Yarrowia lipolytica: one gene and its partner. Each later gene encodes a partner of the first gene's protein in a complex. Links are inferred from orthologs where the notes say so. Each region holds a gene or a part of one and is shown on either strand. Other genes may lie near its edges. The genes, in order: YALI1_F28943g and YALI1_B12427g.

Region 1 (3,841 bases):
ACGAGGTGTACGATGGTATCGAGACAGGTTCCGGTAACGTGCCCAACTGTACCAACCGAACTCCGTACATTTGGACCTACAACTCTGGAATCTTCATGCACGGAGCCGCTGCCTTGTACAACGGAACGCTCCTGAGAAATGGAACAGGTTCGGAAAAGTGGGGGCAACGAGTCAGAGGTATTTTCAACACTGCCGTCTCTCCTCTGCACTTCTTTGGGGGTCCTGAAGGCAACATTATGCGTGAAATCGCCTGTCAACAGGCTACAATTACCTGTGATGCCGATCAGAGAACCTTCAAGGGCATCTATTCGAGTCTTCTCGGTCAGACTGCTCAGCTAGTGCCTGATTTGGCCCCTGAGATCATGAAGTATCTTGTTCCTAGTGCCATGGCAGGAGCTAGAACCTGTTCTGGTGGACGAGATGGCCACACCTGCTCTTTGGACTGGCTGACAGGCAAGTACGACGACCAATACATCGGTCTGGGAGAACAACTCTCAGTTCTGGGTGCTATTCTCAACACCCAAATCATGAGCTCGGAAGGTCCACTGGCTGATATCACTGGAGGAGACTCCAAGGGTAACGGATCGGCCGGCACTGTATTTGAGTCTCCTTATGCCAACACCATTGCTGCGCCACTAACTATTGGACCTGGTGACCGAGCCGGTGCGGGTATCATCACTGCTGTTGTGTGCATCGTTCTCATTGGTTCAGGATGGTGGTTGCTCACTGACGGCATGTACAAGGGGTTCAAGATCAAGAGAAGAGACCCTTCAGAGTAGGTTGATTGATGTTTGTGTAAGGGTATTTTATTGTGTATTTTTGGTTGGTTATGTTGAACTGTAGTTGATGAGTAAATAGCATGTAATGTCGTGTATGAAGCAGAGAGTATGTTCGACAAATGACGCTCCCAAAAATAATTAAAGTACAAGTATATACCTAATTGGGATATCCTTAGTTACTTGGAATGTTCAACAAATTGCACATCTACAACGCTGGTTATAGCTCCACATATAAACATCAGTTTTCCCATAATAAAATTTAAAACCGATGCATGGCGACGAAGAGTCTTCATTATTTTCCATGACTCTCCAATTATTCCAAATTGTTACATTTTAGACCTTCCAAATCCACCTACCAGTATACATAACTTCGCTAAATAAAGTTCAACCACCATCACGAAATCCATCAGCTCCAATCCAGAGCGTCCAACACCACACAACACTCTACACACCATGATCCGACCTGCTGTTCAACGAACATTTGGCCTTAAGCAACACATCGGCTTCCGACGATACTCGACAGAAAAGCCCACTCTTGGCCAGTTTTCCAAACCTCTCACCTCCACCTTCTTCCTCGCCTCCGCCATCTACACAACCATGCATTTCATCTGGTGGCGTCTGGAGACCGACGAGCGACGAAGATCTTATGCCCGTAAGTATTTATTGAAGGGACTGGCGCATTTTGTGTTGATTTGATTCCCCATCTCCTTCAATGACCACATCACATCCAGTCAGATCAAACTAACACAGACACAATCACTTCCCTGGAAAACGAGCTGAAGACCAAGCAGGCCAAGCAGTAATCAAAATGTACATATAGACGAAAATGATATTGATTTTATGGAAGACGTGGTACTGCACCCAAACTACAAGTCATGTGGATGGGTCTGTATCGAAGATGGGTGACGTGCATTGAGCATGATGAAGGCCATAGCAGGAAATCTAACACAAATATATATAGAATACCACCAAACAGCTTACCAAATGAAAGCCCTGGACGAGACAAATCGAATAATACCAATGATTTTATCCTGTGACCATTGAAAGAGGTGGGAATCGCGAAACACGGCACTTTCAACTCAAGCCAAAAGAAATTAATTTCGAGATATAAATACAAACAAGAAAAAACTAGGTTCAAAATTCCCATTATGATTCGACACACTCAATATCCGGAATATCACACACATGTCCATGTCCATGTCCAACCTCCATTATAGGAAATAAGCTTCCAGCATGCATGCCTCTCGATGCACCTTTTTCGTTACAACTTGTACACGCCCTCCGCAACACAGACTCTAGCTTGACACAATCATGTCTTTTCAGAAGAAAAACGTTGCTGTTCCGAACCGGGCGGCCGTAGATCGCAACTCCGGTAATCCCCATCCTCTCAGAGGTCCTCCAGCCAATTCGTCTCACCCAAGCGTCCAAGGTAGAAGCCCCAGGGCTCCCTTTACAGGTTCCACAGATGCCCGGGGGACCTCTGGTGTGACACACGCTGTTCAACCCGTCCCAAACACAAAACCTTCACTTTTGCAGTCCAGTACGCCGACCGTGTCGTCTGGATGCTTCGATTTCGACAAACTCGTCGGTCATAACGGCATTCCTACCGGTACTCTGACTCTGCTAGAGGAAGAATCGACTACAGATTATGCCAGCATTCTGATAAGAATGTTTGCAGCACAGGGGTGCATTGATCGAAGGAATGGCGGGTCTGAGGTGGCGGTGGTAGGAGCTAATGATGCATGGGGACGACAATTGCCAGGAGAGAGCGACAAGAAGAGCAGGTCCCGTGATCCCAGCTCCAAGGCTGGCTCTGGAGCAATGAAGATTGCCTGGAGATACGGCTATAACAGTGAGGTGGAGCGAAAAGAGCAGCTTGCAGAGAACAACACAGCCACTTTCGATCTAACTAAGAGACTGGGTGGTCCAGAGATCTCAAAGATTAGATACTTGAAACCAGATAAGTCGATTGTTCCCGAAATCAAAAAGCTCGCATCCGCCGCGGCTTCCGAGAACTCGATTCTGCGAGTATGCATTCCCACCTTCCTTCATCCTGCTATTTATGATAAGCAGATGGCTGATTCAGATTACGTTATTGGCCTTTTCACACAGCTCAGGGCCCTCACTAGAGAGTACAAGAGACATCTTGTCATTATCGTGTCTCTGCCTCTGGTTCTGTACCCCAAATCGTCTCCTTTGACTCGATGGATGGAACTTCTGGCTGACTGCGTGCTTGATTTCTTCCCTTTTGACGTCAAAGTGCAGGAGCGAGAGTTCCAGGGCCTGGTGAATGTTTCTAAGCTGCCATGCCTGTCTGACAGAGGTCACATGCTTGTTACTCAGAGCGAGTATGCCTTCCGAGTGACGAAACGGACTTTTGAGATTGACGAGTGGAGTATCCCTGTTGAGGAGGATGACGGAGAGAAGAAGGAGGATGCCTTAGCCTTTTAAGCAGATGGAATATGGCAATATTCGACAATAATGATAGCCTAGCTTCCTTGAGAGTCAGACTAAAATGGGCCAGTTTATTCAAACTTGAATTGAGCCCAAGTGAGGGGTGTTTGAGGAGCATCTTTCAAGGCACTTCAGCATTTCAAGGAACAGGGTAGTGCTATACAGGCCAAACGCATATCCTTCAAACACAACCAGTTTCTCTATATTTAAAAAACTGACCCTTGCACGTTGCGTCACTCCTTGCACTCTTTAGTCGTTACTGTAGATACTGTCCCGGTCGAGACAGTGTCAAAACTTGCAAGGACAGTTACGATACTTGTAGGACAGTTACAATTTAGATCCAGTGAATAGAGTCCTGACTATTGTAGAGCCCCAGGATGGGAGCTTATCGCCCGTCTCGTTCTGCGTACGTTGTCTCGGTGTTGTTCGTTTCCAAGAATGGTTTTCCCAGGAACGGGCTATAATGTACGAACAAGTACGACACTTCGACTATCGTCGCCTCAACGCCTTACCCTCCCTCTTAGCTACTTGTAAACACCGTACATACTGTACCCACACATACAGTACATGCAGTAGCTAATTACTTGGACTTGTACAGTAGCTAGGCT
Region 2 (3,339 bases), on another chromosome or scaffold:
CGGACCACACCTACGTGCAAAAGGTGCGCATCGTGCTGGGCTCGTCATATGTCAATATTCTGCTGATTTTCGTGCCCCTCGGCCTGCTCTCCGGAATTCTCGGATGGGGCGCCACCTGGACCTTCTCTCTCAACTTCCTCGCCATTGTCCCCCTTGCCGCCCTGCTGTCGTTTGCTACTGAAGAGCTGTCTGCCAAGGTCGGCCAGACTCTCGGAGGTCTGCTCAATGCCACCTTTGGAAACGCCGTCGAGCTCATTGTATCCGTGATCGCCCTCTACCAGGGCCAGATCCGAATTGTCCAGGCCTCCATGCTTGGATCCATTCTGTCCAACATGCTGCTGGTGCTGGGATGCTGCTTCGTTGCCGGAGGATGGGGACGAGTCCAGCAGAAGTTCAACATGACCGTGGCCCAGACCATGTCCTCTCTTCTCGCCCTCGGAGTCACCTCGCTGCTTATCCCCGCTGCCTTCCACGCCTCTCTGCCCAACTCTGGAAAGCCCGGAGAGGATACCGACCCTTCGGTTGTCGACCCCACCCTAGCTGTGTCTCGAGGAACCTCCATCGTCATTCTCTCCATCTACACTCTTTTCCTCTACTTTCAGCTCGGATCCCACAGCGGTCTGTTTGAGGACGCTGAGAGCGAGGCCGTTGACGCTACCGAGGGAGAGGACGAGCACGAGGGCTCCACCCTGACTCCCTGGGAGTCAATCTTTGCCCTGGTTGTCATCACCGTAATGGTCTCTTTCTGCGCCGACTACCTCGTCGAGTCCATCGACGACATTGTGGCTTCTTCCGGACTCTCCAAGACCTTCATCGGTCTGATTCTGCTGCCCATTGTCGGTAACGCCGCCGAGCACGTGACTGCCGTGGTTGTGGCTATCAAGGATAAGATGGATCTGGCTATCGGAGTGGCTATCGGCTCCTCTCTGCAGATTGCCCTTTTCCTCACCCCCTTCCTGGTCATTCTCGGCTGGATCATCGACCAGCCCATGTCTCTGTACTTCTCCACCTTTGAGACTGCCGTCCTCTTCGTCGGAGTCTTTGTCTGCAACTACCTGCTGCAGGACGGAGAGTCCAACTGGCTTGAGGGAGTCATGTTGCTCGGCACCTACTTTATTGCCGCCATTGCCTTCTTCTACTATCCCTCGGATATGTAAGAGGACAGGAATGCCTCTATGTAAATTACGCAGTGAAGTAATAGACATTATACTTAATGAGCCTGGAGCATTCGCAAATGGACTCATTTTTGAAGTCCCTTGTATTAGCTGTCCGAACCAGGAATGTGATTCAATGGTATAACAATGTCCGTGATGACTGGCTTCTACAGGTAAGGTTATGATTTCGCCTTGGAGTCTGAGAAGATGCAAGACTAGACTGTGACTACTAGACTCTGACAAGATATTGTGTAACATGAATGATATATTTAGTGACATTGGGGACCGTTTCAGAGCTCTCGGATTTCAAATACCTCTTCTGTAGCGCATTCTAGCTATTATAATATTGACTCCTTTTACTTAGCTTTACTTTAACTATAATCTTAAGAGTTCAACTAATTTCAAGTAATTTAAAGAACTGGGCTATCGAGTCAATATGAGTATATACTCAAGGTATGGAAGAATTAATTACATCAATTCACTTGGATCAAAATTCTAACCCCCTTGAACTTATGAAACACTAACCAATCCACTACCTTTACCTTCTCCGTTCCATCTTTGACCACCACTATACACCACGATAAAGTTGCACCATGCATATCAAGACCGTTTTTTTTTGAAAGTGTATTCTCACCAAAAATGCACCCTTCGCTACTCCTGCCCCGGATTCTCGCGTTGAAGGACAGCTCGGCGTTCACGGTGATTATTGATAGCGTGGAACAGTCAGCATCTCGCTTGATCAGCGAATTCCTCCACCACGCACCTGAATCAACCAATGTTCTGTACGTCAACTACGAGACATTGACGGTTGATAAACGGGTCAACCACGAGATTTCGGGACACGAAAAGGTCGCCGAGCTCAAGCAAAAGATTGTCCAGCTGACGGGGACGTCCCAGACTCTCATCATCTTCGACACCCTGGCTTTCATTCCAGAACAAGAGCTGTTCCAGCTGCTCTTCAGTTTGATCAGCAAGCATACAACAGTCGTTTGCGTCTACCACGGCGATATCCGGTCGAAAAGTGACTCTTCGAGCTCCTGTTACCCCTCGACTCTGTCGCTTCTCAACTACTTTGCCACCAGTATTCTTACTGTTGGTCCTCTGAGCAGACCAGACGTCATGCCTCATGTTTTGGAACAACACAGTAACCGGATTTCGGCCTGGGACATCCCTATGGGCTGCAATTCGCCGAAATTTGAGGTGCAGCTGGATTACAGACGCAAATCGGGACGCTCGGTCATTGCTACATACACTGTAGACAACTCGTCTCATGCAGTAGCCATTGCCCCTAACAAGGCGCAGCAGCAAGAAAACGAGGCAGATCTGCTCAAGGATCTGACCACGTTTAACCTGACAACTTCCACTCGAAACCAGCAGGCCAAGGATAAGGTGGAACTGCCGTTTCTGGAGAGTCAAAAGTACGGAGATGGAGGAGTCCAAGGAGGAGCCATTGTTTACCAGTACGAAAAGGACGATGATTACGACGAAGAAGATCCTTATGAAGATCCCTTCTAAGGGAAAAGTTATTTATTGCACTGTATCATGTTAATATACATTTATCGCAGTTGGTGTTGTGTGTGAAGTATTTCACCAACTACAATCACAAGAATTGCACCAGAATAGTGTGCGGTTTTACAAGAACACCACAGGGTCGAATGGGGACCTACTGATAGCCGTGCCGAGTACAGTACAAGTCATAAATCGTATTAATGTCTATCACATCAATGGTGCCATTGTAGATAGTGACAGGATGTAACTCACAGTGGGTAGCTCTCGTAGCAATACGGCCTCGGCGTTCGGAATAGCCACAGTCGTGCTATACACTCCCATGGCTAACACACCCTCCACTCGTCTGGTTGCTACTTCAATTGGTCGAGCAAAAACTGCAGCGCTCGGAACGCAAACTCCTCCATGTTCTGAGCTCGGTCGTTACTGCCTGTCGAAAAAGTCATGCTCTTGGATCCACTGGGTCCGACCACAGCCACAAACCCGGTTCCCACGGCGTCTCCAGTCGGGCCGGCCCATCCGGTCTCGGAAAGAGCATAGGTGGAGCCCAGCTCAATCTTGAGGTTTCGCGCCAGTCTCAAAGCCACACTTTCACTGGGGCCCGTGTACTGATCAATGTCGGTCTGGGACCAGCCTGAAAGCTTGAGTCGCGACTTGAGCGAGTACACCAGAGTTCCTC

The links.
Region 2: the proteins of YALI1_F28943g (region 1) and YALI1_B12427g are in contact, whole or in part, in a crystal structure (PDB 4A8J), measured with the Saccharomyces cerevisiae proteins. The link is inferred for Yarrowia lipolytica from reciprocal best matches to the Saccharomyces cerevisiae genes ELP4 and IKI1. Residues at the interface, in NP_015224.1 of Saccharomyces cerevisiae: Thr115, Thr116, His293, Pro294, Pro299, Phe302, Glu303, Ser304, Ser332, Ile335, Thr337, Leu340, Gln359, Thr362, Glu363, Glu366; in NP_012057.3 of Saccharomyces cerevisiae: Ala2, Ser3, Ser4, Glu115, Thr118, Asn151, Asn152, Asn153, Tyr154, Pro155, Thr159, Leu160, Phe163, Lys209, Ser212, Gly213, Arg214, Ser215, Leu216, Glu217, Tyr218.

The regions. Positions count from the first base shown.
Region 1 is NC_090775.1:2,892,238-2,896,078, forward strand, and holds YALI1_F28943g (uncharacterized protein), read left to right. Parts: upstream 1-2,090; coding exon 2,091-3,230; downstream 3,231-3,841. Other genes in the region: YALI1_F28915g (uncharacterized protein), read left to right, coding at 1-779; YALI1_F28934g (uncharacterized protein), read left to right, coding at 1,233-1,431, 1,530-1,582. UniProt on the Saccharomyces cerevisiae protein: Component of the elongator complex, a multiprotein complex which is required for multiple tRNA modifications, including mcm5U (5-methoxycarbonylmethyl uridine), mcm5s2U (5-methoxycarbonylmethyl-2-thiouridine), and ncm5U (5-carbamoylmethyl uridine).
Region 2 is NC_090771.1:1,240,960-1,244,298, forward strand, and holds YALI1_B12427g (uncharacterized protein), read left to right. Parts: upstream 1-1,793; coding exon 1,794-2,669; downstream 2,670-3,339. Other genes in the region: YALI1_B12409g (uncharacterized protein), read left to right, coding at 1-1,157; YALI1_B12443g (uncharacterized protein), read right to left, coding at 3,014-3,339. UniProt on the Saccharomyces cerevisiae protein: Component of the elongator complex which is required for multiple tRNA modifications, including mcm5U (5-methoxycarbonylmethyl uridine), mcm5s2U (5-methoxycarbonylmethyl-2-thiouridine), and ncm5U (5-carbamoylmethyl uridine).